Callithrix jacchus: one gene and its partner. The protein of the gene in region 2 purifies or fractionates together with the protein of the main gene of each other region. This does not show direct contact. Links are inferred from orthologs where the notes say so. Each region holds a gene or a part of one and is shown on either strand. Other genes may lie near its edges. The genes, in order: DNAAF2 and UBE3D.

Evidence for each region.
Region 1: the proteins of UBE3D (region 2) and DNAAF2 purify together in Homo sapiens (affinity purification with mass spectrometry; 4 studies listed by BioGRID and IntAct, counting the BioPlex papers as one, with this or other methods). This does not show direct contact. The link is inferred for Callithrix jacchus from reciprocal best matches to the Homo sapiens genes UBE3D and DNAAF2.

Annotation. Positions count from the first base shown.
Region 1 is NC_133509.1:84,130,475-84,137,080, forward strand, and holds the start of DNAAF2 (protein kintoun), read right to left. Parts: upstream 4,064-6,606; 5' UTR 3,914-4,063; coding exon 2,036-3,913; intron 1-2,035. UniProt on the Homo sapiens protein: Required for cytoplasmic pre-assembly of axonemal dyneins, thereby playing a central role in motility in cilia and flagella.
Region 2 is NC_133505.1:88,582,526-88,589,135, forward strand, and holds the start of UBE3D (E3 ubiquitin-protein ligase E3D), read right to left. Parts: upstream 3,933-6,610; 5' UTR 3,820-3,932; coding exon 3,743-3,819; intron 1-3,742. UniProt on the Homo sapiens protein: E3 ubiquitin-protein ligase which accepts ubiquitin from specific E2 ubiquitin-conjugating enzymes, and transfers it to substrates, generally promoting their degradation by the proteasome.

The DNA of each region.
Region 1 (6,606 bases), on a different chromosome or scaffold from region 2:
CCTTCTCACTCTAATGACTGATGAAATGACTAATGAACTGGAAAAGTTACTGATCTCAGAGGCCTGAAGCTCCAGGAAAACTGTCAGTGAACACTGAAAACTTCAATACATATATATAGTATTTATTTGTAAAGTTCTGACCATGAAAGCCACAACAGGCATAATGCATATAATATTATTACATTTGTTCCACTACTCATGATTTTTTTCAAAAATTTAACACTTAGAGCCTGGTCCAGTACAAAGTAAAGCAAAAGAGATGCTGGCCAAGTGCAGTGGCTCACACCTATAATCCCAGCACTTTGGGAGGCCAAGATTGGCTGATCACAGAGTCAGGAGTTTGAGACCAGCCTGACCAAACATGGTGAAATCCCGTCTCTACTAAAAATACAAAAATTAGCTGGTGTACTGGCATGCGCCTGTAATCCCAGAGCTATTCAGGAGGCTGCCTCTTGAACCCAGAAGGCAGAGGTTGAGCTGAGATCACACCACTGCACTCCAGCCTGGGCAACAAAGCAAGACTCCATCTCCAGAAAAAAAAAGTTAGATGCTATTGTTCCATCAGCCTTGGCAAATATGATAATTAGTGAAGTAATTAAAAATCTATTTCAGGCTTCAAAGATATAAAATACAGTTGCCCTAATCCCATTTTCATCAAGTTTATTTGCTAAAATGTTAGCATACTTGAAAATCAGATTAAAATGTATTATTGAATATTCTATTAATTCCTTGTCAACAAAGTTTTCTTCCCACACTGTGGGTTATTTTCATAATTACTAAAACAATTACAGGAAAGCAACTGCCCTTTCCTAAATTTCCCACTTCTGATTACATAAACAGATACTCAGTTTCATATTTTATATTCTAACAAACTACATTATCTAGCCCAGTTATTTATTTTACCACTTTTGGAGGGTTTTTTTTTCTTTTTTTTTTTTTCTGAGATGGAATTTCACTCTTGTTACCCAGGCTGGAGTGCAATGGCGCGATCTCAGCTCACAACCTCCGCCTCCTGGGTTCAGGCAATTCTCCTGCCTCAGCCTCCTGAGTAGCTGGGATTACAGGCACGTGCCACCGTGCCCAGCTAATTTTTTGTATTTTTAGTAGAGACGGGGTTTCACCATGTTGACCAGGATGGTCTGGATCTCTTGACCTCATGATCCACCCGCCTTGGCCTACCTGGGTGCTGGGATTACAGGCGTGAGCCACCATGCCCAGCCCCTATGCTCTATTTTCTAAACTCGGAAAAAATGATTACCAGCTTCAAAGTTGCCCATTACAGAGTGCTTTTTAAACTTACTTGTGTTACAAACCCTTTTTGAGACTATAATTAAAATTATAGCCCTTTTCTCTGGAAGAGATCACTCTCTACTTTTTGCATACAATTCCAGAGATCTACCGCTCCCTAAAAATGCATTCATGGTCTCCTTCATATTCAATGGATCTCAGAAAAACGACTATATTCGGGGTAACTTTGAAGATTTGAATCCCATCCACCAGACTCCATGCGTGTTTCTTTTTTTTTTTTTTTTTTTCAAAATCCGTCCAACATGCACTGACATCTTTCATCATGTGCATCAATATCAAGTCATTACAAGAAGTTATAATGGAAAATGCTTTGTTTAGGATAAACTTAAAGGGTGCCTGTAATAGCTTTTTTTTCTTTTTCTTTTTCTTTTTTTTTTTTTGCGACGGAGCCTCGCTCTGTCTTCCAGGCTGGAGTGCAGTGGCTTAATCTCAGCTTACTGCAACCTCTGCCTTCCAGGGTCAAGCGGTTCTTCTGCCTCAGCCCCCCGAGTTGCTACGACTACAGGCGCGCGCCGCCACGCCCGGTTAATTTTTGTACTTTTAGTAGAGACGGGATTTCACCATATTGGCCAGGCTGGTCTAGAATTCCTGACCTCATGATCCGCCCGCCTCAGCCTCCCAAAGTGCTAGGATTACAGGCGTGAGCCACCAAGTTTGGCCAGTAATAGAAAATTTTTTAAATAAGATGGGATATTTCAAATATTAGGACTCTGGAAAGAACTGTTACCTCCAAAGAATCGTTGTTTACACCATAATACCACTCTCTCCAATGTCCATGGCTCTCTGGAGATTTTGCCAGTTCTATCACTGCATTGTTTGAAGAAACGCTAATCACAGGTTCTATGGTACTCAATTTATTCTCTGGAGCAAATTGCAAAAAGAAGGAATAAACTAAATCTTGTGTGGAGAAGCATAATTTGTACCAGACGGGACTCAGATCTCCTTGAAGACTTTGCGGCTGGATCCGAGGCACTTGAATGATCAGAGTCAGGGTTTCTTCGTCCTGATTACACAGTAACGGAGGACACAAAGGTTCCCAGCTCTCGGTTCCGGGACCACCCATGGCGCGGGCGGAGCGCTCACCTCCAGTTCCCTCAGACTCCACGCGCGTCTCCACACTGCAATCTCCGCGCGCTCTCTCTCTTCCCGCAGAAGACTCCCAGGCTTGGCCCGGAAAGGACATAGAAGAGGAGCCTCCACCACCGGGTGAGCTTTCACCTCCGGGAGATGGCTTCTCTCCGCTGCCTGGCGGCGACCCCGCGTGCCAACTCAAGTCCTGCTCCCCCAGCCCGGGGATATGCTCTTCTCCAGCGCCGGCCAGCTGGGGCGCCACCTCGGGGTCCCCCAGGGTGGTGACCCCAGAGCCCGCAGTCACAGCCACGGAGGTATCGAGGCCTCGGTCCTCGGCGCGACCTCCCGCGGGTCCTGCCGCCCCCTCGCGAGCGGAAGTGCAGGCCTGGCTGTCAGTTCCGGGCAGACCCGCGGACTCTTCCGGCGCGGCTGCGGCGGTGACTGTGGGCTCATGGCGCGCGGCCGGCAGCACCACTGGAAGCGTTACCACCAGCTGCCGCCGGGCCTTGTTAAACTGTGCCTTGCCGCGGCCGTCGTCCACGGGGTAAGGGAGCGAGAGCCGCAGCCGGTAGTCGGGTTTCCTCGAGTCGAGGCACAGCAGCTTTCCCGTCACCTCCAGCGCCGCCTGCTCGGCTGAGCGCAACAACGGCAGTTCGATCGTGACCACTAGCTCGTGGGGCACTGGGCTCGGGACTGAGTCCCGGGAGCAGCGGTAATCTTGGAAGTCCACGTGGTGGCGCTGCACCACGCTGTAGCGAGGCTCGGTGGGGGCGGGCTGCAAGGCCGCTTCCGGAGGAGAGGGCGCCCGGGGCCCGGGAGCTGCAGAGTTTCCGGCGGCTGCCGGGTACTGGTAGGGGTAGGGGAAGTCCGGGAGAGGACCCTTCGGCTCCCCTTCGGGCCTGGCCGGGATGCCCCCGGGCAGGGGCGTGCGCAGCACCGCTGCCTCCCGGGTCCCCTTATATTTGACCTTCAGGGTCTTGGCATTCCTGCGGTCTAGCTTCACGCCGAATTGCTTCTCAACTGCCTCTAGGGCCGTGGTGTCCAGCATCTGACGGAAGCCCTCGTGTCGCCGGGCCAGTGCGAGCGCGTCTGGATGGAAGACCACGTCGTAGACCATGTAGCGGGTTCTACTGCGTCCCGCGTACTCGCGGCCGGGCGCCAGGCTGTAGGGCAGGAACCAGTGGCTGCCAGGCGCTGCGCCCTGGTCGCCCCTGGAGCCGGGCCGGCTGCTGGGTGCGCCCACCAGCTCGTTGCTGCAGACGTTCACGAAGCAGCGCCGCGCTCCGTCCAGGCTGGTGCGAAGCACATGGCCCGGCTCTGGGTGCACGAACCGCACCTCCACCCCTCGCTCACGCTCCAGCATGGTGATCTCTGCCTCGTAGCGTCGCCGGTTCTCGGGGTCGGTGAGTTCCTTGGCATACTGGGAGAACATTCGCCGGAACTCCGGGTCCTGGAAGGCGGAGGTGAGCCGCTGGACCTCCTCTCCGCTCAGGTCCAAGTCCTCCAGCGACGAGGAGGCCGCCACTTTGGCCATACTGCCCTGTGGCTCCTAGTCCTTGGGCCAAGGGCGATCAGTCTGAAACTGAGTTGGGGGGATGCGCCTCACAATCTCTGGGCAGCGGAGAGTGTCGGTAACGGCTGGAAAATTGAGCCTTGAGCAGCGCGTGCTTGTTGCCATAGTGACACCACTAACATTCGGGAGGAGGGATAGAAATGGTGGAATAGCGGAAATGCCAGGAATAGCCTCTTAATTTTTTCAAACCAACCCACCACCGTACTTTCTCTGTTTTATATACCTATTCCATGGTACAGTTACTTCTGCAGAATAACTGTTGTAGTAACTGTCATAATTTCCAGCAGTATGTACATTATCCCATTCATTGTTCACACCACTTGAAGATAAACCTCGTCTCTATTTCACAAACGAGATCTGAGAAGCTGGACGAAGGTCATATAGCCAGTGTATCAACAGGCTAATTCAAACCTGTTTAGCTACTTTTCTTCACTTTGCTAAACTAACATTTCAATCTTTTTCTTTATTTTTTTTTCTGAGATGGAGTCTCGCTGTCTCCCAGGCTAGAATGCAATGGCGTGATCTCGGCTCACTGCAACCTCCGCCTTCCAGGTTCAGGCAATTGTCCTGCCTCAGCCTCCTGAGTAGCTGGGATTACAGGCGCCTGCTACCACACCCGGCTAATTTTTGTATTTTTAGTAGAAACAGGGTTCCACCATGTTGGCCAGGCTGGTTTTGAACTCCTGACCTCAGGTGATCCGCCCGCCTCAGCCTCCCAAAATGCTGGGATTACAGGTGTGAGCTACGGCGCCCGGCCAACATTTCAGTTTCGGTGTACCTCCTTTGCATTTTCTGGCAATTCCACTATAATATTTACCCAGTAAAAACTCATTTGGGGCAAGACATATGGGCAGGCCATTCATAAATAATTACCAGTGGTCCATGGACTTAAAAACTTTAACTTCATTAATAATAAAATGCAAATATACCACATGTAAACTACCAAAATATGGAAGATTCTTACAACTACTGTATTTCCTTAGGGTGGGAACAGACTTCAGTAAGATAATTCTAGAGAGCAGTTTTGCAATTATATCAACATCATTTAATTATTTACATATGTATGTATGTATTTTTGAGATAGGTTCTCCTCTTGCCCATGCTGGAGTGCAGCTTCAACCTCCTGGGCTCAAGCAGTCCTCCTGCCTCAGCCCCCCAAGTAACTGGGACTACAGGTATGTGCTACCATGCCTGGCTAATTTTTTAGTTTTTGTAGAGATGGGGGTCTTATTATGTTACCTATGCTGGTCTCCAATTGCTGGACTCAAATGATCATCCTGCCTCAGCCTTCCAGAGTGGTGAGATAACAGGATTACAGGCTTGAGCCTCCACACTAGCTCCAAAACATTTTTTTTTTCCTTGAGGCCGAGTCTTGCTCTGTTGCCCAGGCTGGAGTGCAGTGGTGCAATCTCAGCTCACTGCACTGCCTCCTGGGTTCAAGCATTTCTCCCTGCCTCATCCTCCCAAGTAACTGATATTATAGTCACCTGCCACCATGTCCGGCTAATTTTTGTATTTTCAGTAGAGTTGGGGTTTCACCATGTTGGCCAGGCTGGTCTCCCGCTCCTGACCTCAGGTGATCCACCCATATCAGTCTCCCAAAGTGCTGGGATTACAGGCATGAGCCACCATTCCTGGCTGGGTTTTTTTTTAAAACCATGGTTTATATTGGGTATTTTCTTGCTTTAGGGTATGGCTCTCCCCATTTAAAAAGGTAAATAAACATCATGAAATCTAGGACCTTGCCTTTCTGGTTTACCACTGGATACTCTGATGCCTAGAACATTATTGGGCAGGCAGATGAATTAACATAGTAAAGAAAAAAGCAAGTTTAGTATGTATAGTATGATCCTAAAATATTTTTATAGGAAAAAGCTTATGCATAGGGAAAAATCTGGAAGCATATTTACCAAAGTATTAACAATATTTCTGATAGTAGAATTGCAGGTCATTAAACTTTTTTGTGTGTTTGCTTATATTTTATAATTTTTTTTTTTTTAAGAGACAGGGTTTCACCATATTGGTCAGGCTGGTCTCCAATTCCGAACCTCAGGTGATCCACCTGCTTCAGCCTCCCAAAGTGCTGGGATTACAAGCGTGAGCCGCCGCACCCAGCCATATTTTATAATTTCCTATGAACTTGTTTAGTAAAAAGTTTTAGAACACCCTACACTTAGGTTTTAAAGCTTTGCATCTAAAATAACTTTGAGACATAAAGATGAGTTCCAAAAGGTTTAAAGCACCTGAGGGATGTGTAAAATTGCACTCTTTTCTGTTATAACCCTGAAGTCAATGAGCATAACCAGTCAACTTATTTTCATTCACCTTTGTAACGTCAAAATTCTGGACGTTTGACCTTAAAAAAGGCATTTCCAACATGAACGCACCATACTTCTCAAAAGGAAACAAACTACAACTGGTTGTTTAGAAGTGCTAATGGCCTTTAAAGTTACTGAACCCTCTGAAATTATATGTAGAGGCAGACTCATGGGGTTGGGGGACGTGGTTCTCAGTAGAGGCCCATAGGGCCCGTAGGTTTCATTAGATTCTCTCGGGGTTCCTGCCCTCTGTTTTGCCAAATTTCTTGTATGTGATGTTCTCTTTCCCAGAAGAATCTCTTTGGGAAAAGACAGTGTGGAGTTGTGGAAGAGCCC
Region 2 (6,610 bases):
GGTATCACACCCTGCTTTCAACTATCCAATGACTTCATCTCTCATTCTACAGACTAAAGTCCTTTCGATGGTCCATAAGTCACAGTGGTATAGTAGGCCAAGGCCACTACTAGACTCTAGTATGCTATAAGCTTTGGAGAACCTGTTGTTAAAATTCTAGCAGTTCTGCAAAGCAGGTCAACTCACCCAGTTGGTAGGTTGAAGGTCATCCATGGCAAAAGTATTCACACCAAAGAAATCAACAAATGCTGCAAATCAAGACCTTTCGTGTGTCTTTTTGTTTCCATGGAGAGTAGAATATTAAACATGTGCCAGCACACTGCCATAAGACGTTTTGCTGTGTGTTGCCCCACCTCACCCGCATCTCTCTGAACTAGGAACCCTTTCAAACATACTTTCTTAGAAATGGAAATTGTCTCACACAAGTATGTCACTTCTACATCTCACCCTTTTTAGTTTAATACTCAAATGTCTATTTCTCATTTGAAATAAAAGATTATAACTTTTTCCTCCCAGTCCCTTTTGGAATTCTCTACTTCTATTATATTTTATTTATTTTGTATATTCTCTGCTGCCTCTTCCACACTGCCACCATTAGACTGTAAGCTCAGCAAAGGCAAGTATTCTTGTCTTTGCTGCTATTACTGTTCATGGCTGTATCCTCAGCACTAAGAATTTGAATTTTCCGTACTAGAGTAAGAACACAATAAACATCTGTGGATTGAATAAATGAATGGCCAAAGTTTATCCCAAGAATGCTAAGACTGTTTAACATAAATAGATCTTTACATCTGTGAATGGAAAAATGAGGAAGCCAGACTCTTTTTAACAACCCACTATTGCAGGAACTAATCCATTCCTGAAAGAGAACTCACCTACCCATCTCCCATGGGAGGGCATTAATCTATTCAAGAAGGATCTGCCCCCAGGAACCAGGCACCTCCCACTAGTCTAGTCCCTATGTCTCAACAGTGCCACACTGGGGATCAACATGACAAAACATAGGGACAAAACACACCCAAACCATAGCAATTAGGAACGAGAACACCAATATTTACATTAACTATAAAATAAACTAAATATTTTAATTAAAACACACAGATCAGGCCAGGCGCGGTAGCTCAAGCCTGTAATCCCAGCACTTTGGGAGGCTGAGGCAGGTGGATCACGAGGTCAAGATATCGAGACCATCCTGGTCAACATGGTGAAACCCCGTCTCTACTAAAGATACAAAAAATTAGCTGGGCATGGTGGCGCGTGCCTGTAATCCCAGCTACTCAGGAGGCTGAGGCAGGAGAATTGCTTGAACCCAGGAGGCGGAGGTTGCGGTGAGCCGAGATCGCGCCATTGCACTCCAGCCTGGGTAACAAGAGCGAAACTCCGTCTCAAAAAAAAAAAAAAACACACAAAACAAAACGCACAGATCAGAATGTTTTTAAAATCACCAAAGTATATATTCTTTAAAATAGCATTCAGTTTTATGCTATTTTTACAGAAACACAGTATTTTTACAGTTTTATGCTTTACACTGAAAGACATAAGACAAGTTAAGAGGGTAGAAAAGACATACTATGCAAACAGTATAGTCAATTGATTTCTCATGAAGATACTGAATTATTTTAATGGGAGAAATTATGGCCTTTTCAACTCATGGTGACAGAATAACTGAATATCCTCATACAAAAAAAAAAAGAACTTTGATCCCTACCTCACTGCAAACACAAAAATGAACTCAACATGATCATAGATCAAAATGTAAAAGCTAAAACTATATAACTCCCAGAAAATAAACCTAGCAAAAAATCTTCACAACCTTGAGGTAGGCAAAGATTTAAGACACCAAAAAAAAAAAAAAAAAAAAACCCTTAAAGAAAAAGAAAGCAATAGAGTGGACTTTATTAAAATAACAATTTCTGTTCATCAAAGGACACTATTAAGAAAATGAGGCTGGGCATGGTGGTTCACACCTGTAATCCCAGCACTTTGGGAGTCCAAAGCAGGCAGATTGCTTGAGTCCAGGCACTTAACATTATTAGTCATCAGTGAAGTGAAAATTAAAACTACAAGATACTACTTTACACCCATTAGAATGGTTCAAACTAATAGGACTAACAATACTAAACCCAAGTGAGAATGTAAGCAGCTGAAACTCTTTTTTTTCCTGGTTGAGTGTGTAAAGTGGTACAATCACTTTGGAGAACTGTTTGGTAATTTCTCACAAAATAACACGCACATTTGTCCCATGACCCAGAAATTTCAGGTAAGTACCCTTAGGTACCTACCTAAAAAGAAATGAAAATGTATGTCCAAAAAAAGATTTATACAATATTGTTATGACAACTGTAGTCATAATAAGCAAACTCTGGAATCAAGAAAAACATCCAACAATAGGAGAACAGATAAATGAATTGTAGTATATTCATACAATGGAAAACTCAGCAAGAAAAAGGAACGAACTACTGATACATGCAGCCACATAGATGGAATATGAATCTTTAAAATATTATGGAAGGAATGCAGCCAGAAACTATATATATGCTGCATGAATCCATTTATAAGCAGTTCAAGAAATGTCAAAACTAAGTCGAGCAAAGTTAGGTTTCCTAACTTGCTTAAACAAGGGAGAGTAGTCCAAGGGAACTGTGAAAGGACCCTGGATGAGAGGAAGGGAGGGTTTGTTGGTGTGTGTGGTTTGTTTTTTGTTTTGATTTGGTACGGCTTGGGCTCCTAATTACAAGGTGCACCAGAATTGGAGATATTTGTCCAAATTCATGATTTTTGAAAAGAGAAAAAGAAATACATTTAGAGTACTAAGTATTATTTCCATTTCAAGATTGAAGAAATTCAGATTAAATTATTCTAACTTTGTGAGGAAGCAAGCATTTGAACTCAGTTCTCACGCCATATCCCAAACTGCCACACCAGATATCTGGCAGATTGAGAGAAAAGAGGAAAAAACTAAGCATCAACCTGTGACACTGTGTAATAACATTCTCAGGATTTTAACATCTAACTTAATCTCTCTCTGAGAAAGCGATCACAAAGGAATAGACAAGGGCGCCACAAATCATTAAAACTGCTTTCAAACAAAAAGAGAACATTTTCCCTAAAAGTTTCTTGTTTGTGCAGCAAATAACAAGCTCAACGTTCTCACTGGAACTCAGAATATGAATAAAAAAACGAGCTCCAATGAGAAGTCTGTAACCTTTCTTGGGGGTGCACTAAACTCACGTTTATTGAATGATTGTGTGGTTTCTCTGCAAAGAGCAGTTTGAAGAGAAAAGACCCGAAGTTATTTACAAAACAAGAAGCGCACACATAGGAACTGATCCAGTAAGGAGGATCCCGAAGAGAGGTAGACGAGGCATTTTTTGCATTGTTTTGTAGGAAACGCCAGGCACTGCCAACGGTGTTTTACATCACCATTCCTCAAATCTTAACGTGCATTTGATTCCTGGGAATCTTGTTTAAATAAAAGTTCTGATTCCATAACTCTGGTGTGGGGCTGAGACCCTGAGATTCTAAAAAGCACCCCAAAGATACCCAGACTGTCAGTAGGGGTGGAGGTAGCGGAGGCGACTACAGGGGAAAGCTTCACTTTGAGTGGTCGAGAGGTACTCAACTGGAAACAAGAAACTCAAAGTCCCTCGTTCCGAGAGAGCAGAGAGAGACTCACCAACCCCCAGCCCCCGGGAGCAGAAAAGCGTGCTGGGCACCGCGCCGCCTAGGATCCAGTTCTTACCCCAGGATCAGCAGCGCGCTCTGCAGCTGTCTCCGGACCTCCAGAAACACGCGTGTCTTCGCCGCAGTTGTCGCCATGGCGAGCGTCCAATCCCGGACTGGACCAAGCTGGAGGGTCCAAAGGGCCCGGGTCAACGTGACCAGGTGCGGTTCCACGTGCGGACCAACCAGCAGCAGCGTCGCTGCGGCGCAGGCGCCTGTACCAGACGCGCGGCTAGCACCGCCTACCAGCTCACAGCGCCACTTGCCGGCCGGAGAGCGCGCTACAGTGAACGCGCGGGACCCCGGAGGGCGGGGCGGGGCGGGGCGGGGCGCGCGTTTTCAAAACCAGGCTTTGGCCCAGTGCTGAGAAAGGTGGGCGACGAGAGGCAAGCTATCCTCCCACTTTGCTTCTCATGAGCGTGACTTGACGCGTTAGCCTCCCTGGAAATTACCATAAAAATCAGACCTAGGGTACACTCTGGCTAGCTTGAAGGGAAGGAGATGATGGAGGCAGGTGTTACAGGTGCTTTGTCCCCAGGAGATCCAAGAGCAGAATTCCCCGCCCCAAACCCACTTTATCCTGGTCTCTTTTATGAACAAGGATAGTTTGTTAGCCTCTGTCTAAAGCAACAAAAATTTCAAGAATTGACTTGCCATTGCTTCTCAACTTAGGATAGCTCCAAAATTGAAACAGGTGCAAAAACGTAAGGAAGTTTTTTGTTACCTGATGCAGAAGAGTGTGGCTGAAGTCTATCTTGAATACAGGATTAACCATTTTTTAGGGGGTAAAAAAGGACGTTGAGAATGATTACGTATGTACAGCTCCACTATTCACTTTCACAGAAGTAAAAACTAAGAGAATTCGTCATTCCGTTACGACTAGAAGACAGTTTTGAAAAGTTTGGCACAGTAAAGAACCTGATATAATGTAAGTACTTATAATGAAGAACCACTAAAATGTAAGACCAGGGTAGAATTTACAATAGGATTTCTTAAAAACAAAAAACTGCTATTTTTTGAAACAAAAATAGTGATGGCTTGTATACATAAAACCTTGTTTATTGATGTTCTATTATTTCAAAGTAATAATTACTGCACACCAAACACATTAATTTGAAGTATTTCTAAACAAAATAATTAGACCATATATATATATATATATAGATATAGACACGGAGTGCAGTGGCACAATCTCAACTCATTGCAACCTCCGCCTCCCAGGTTCAAGCAGTTCTCCTGCCGCAGCCTCCAGAGTAGCTGGGAGTACAGGCGCGCACCACTATGCCCGACTAATTTTTATGTTTTTGGTAGAGACGCGGTTTCACCACGTTGGCCAGACTGGTCTAGAACTCCTGACCACAAGTGATCCGCCCACCCTGGCCTCCCAAAGTGCTGGGATAACAGGCGTGAGCCATAGTGCCGGCCTAGACCATAAATAAATTCTTTTTTATTTTTATTTATTTATTTTTTCGAGATGGAGTCTCACTCTGTTGCCCAGGCTGGAGTACAGCAGCGCGATCTCGGCTCACTGCAGCCTCCCACTCCTGGGTTCCAGCGATTCTCCTGCCTCAACCTCCCCTGTAGCAGGGATTACAGGCGGTAGCCACACCCAGCTAATTTTTGTATTTTTAATAGAGACAGGATTTCACCATGTTGGCCAGGCTGGTCTCGAACTCCTGATCTCATGTGATCCGCCCGCCTAGGCCTCCCAAACTGCTAGGATTACAGGCATGAGCCACCTAGCCCAGACAATAAATTGTAAATAAATAAATCCTGTCATATATTTTAAGATAACAGCTTGAAACAATTTTTCTAAAATTAGTATTTGGGGTTATTAAAGTTCATCATGTTGACGCACAAATTATTATATCTATCACAATAATTTGAAATCATACATGGAAGCAACAACTCAGTTAAAAAAATTAAGTTTACTACTATTTGGTCTCAATTCATCTATTTGAAGTATGATGATTTCAGCTATGCATATCCTCCATCTTTAATCCTCGAAGCTATTGAATGTTTAAATATTGACACATTATATTGAAATACACATATTCCTTAGCACAGCTTACTCTTCATAATTGTTTTGTCAGCTTAAAAGATTGCTATATATTTAATTACGTATTTGTAAAAACTTCAATCATTTTTTGGACCCTACAGTGTTGACAAAACGGTGCAATCCACCTTGGAATAACTAGACATGATTGACAGAAAAGAGCTCTAGACTCAAAATAGTTCCAAATCTGATACCAAATATTTGTCTCCTAACTTCACAAGTCTCCTAACCTCTCTGGGCCGCAGGTTACTCACATGAAATATTGAGAAACTATTAAAATAATATTTACATAGTTATTTCAATAATTTAAAAGCTGTTTTCGGTTCCTATTATCCCTTCAAACTCTCCATCAAGATGAGACTGGCGCTGGCAAGTTGAAAACACCTGTTAAATCCCTTTCTAGCCACTCCTGAAATTGGTAGCCATGGCCGCTTCCCGCGACAGTCCACTTGAGGGCGCTGTGGTAACAGCTATCGCCGGGAGGCAAGAAGCCGACCGGGGGCGGGGATCGAAGGCCGCAGACGTCGACGCCGGCGTGGGCGCGAGCGCGGTGCACGCTGGGAGCTGTCACTAGGCCCTTCGGCTCCCGGCCTCGGTGTAGCTGCCGCGGTTGCCAGGAGAGCGGTGCCGGCGGGGAGCGGCTGAGCCCGCAGCAGGTAAAAATGTTCCCGCTCCCAGTGCGGTCGCTTGGCTGGTCGCCGGCTCTGAGCATCCTCCTCGGCCAGGATAGGCTAGGTTCTGAGCCCCCGGGACGCCTAGCGGGTCTGACTGCTGTGGCGTCGGGGGTGTTGCCCCTCTGGCCCCGCCTGGAGCCGCGAAGCTGGTCAGCCG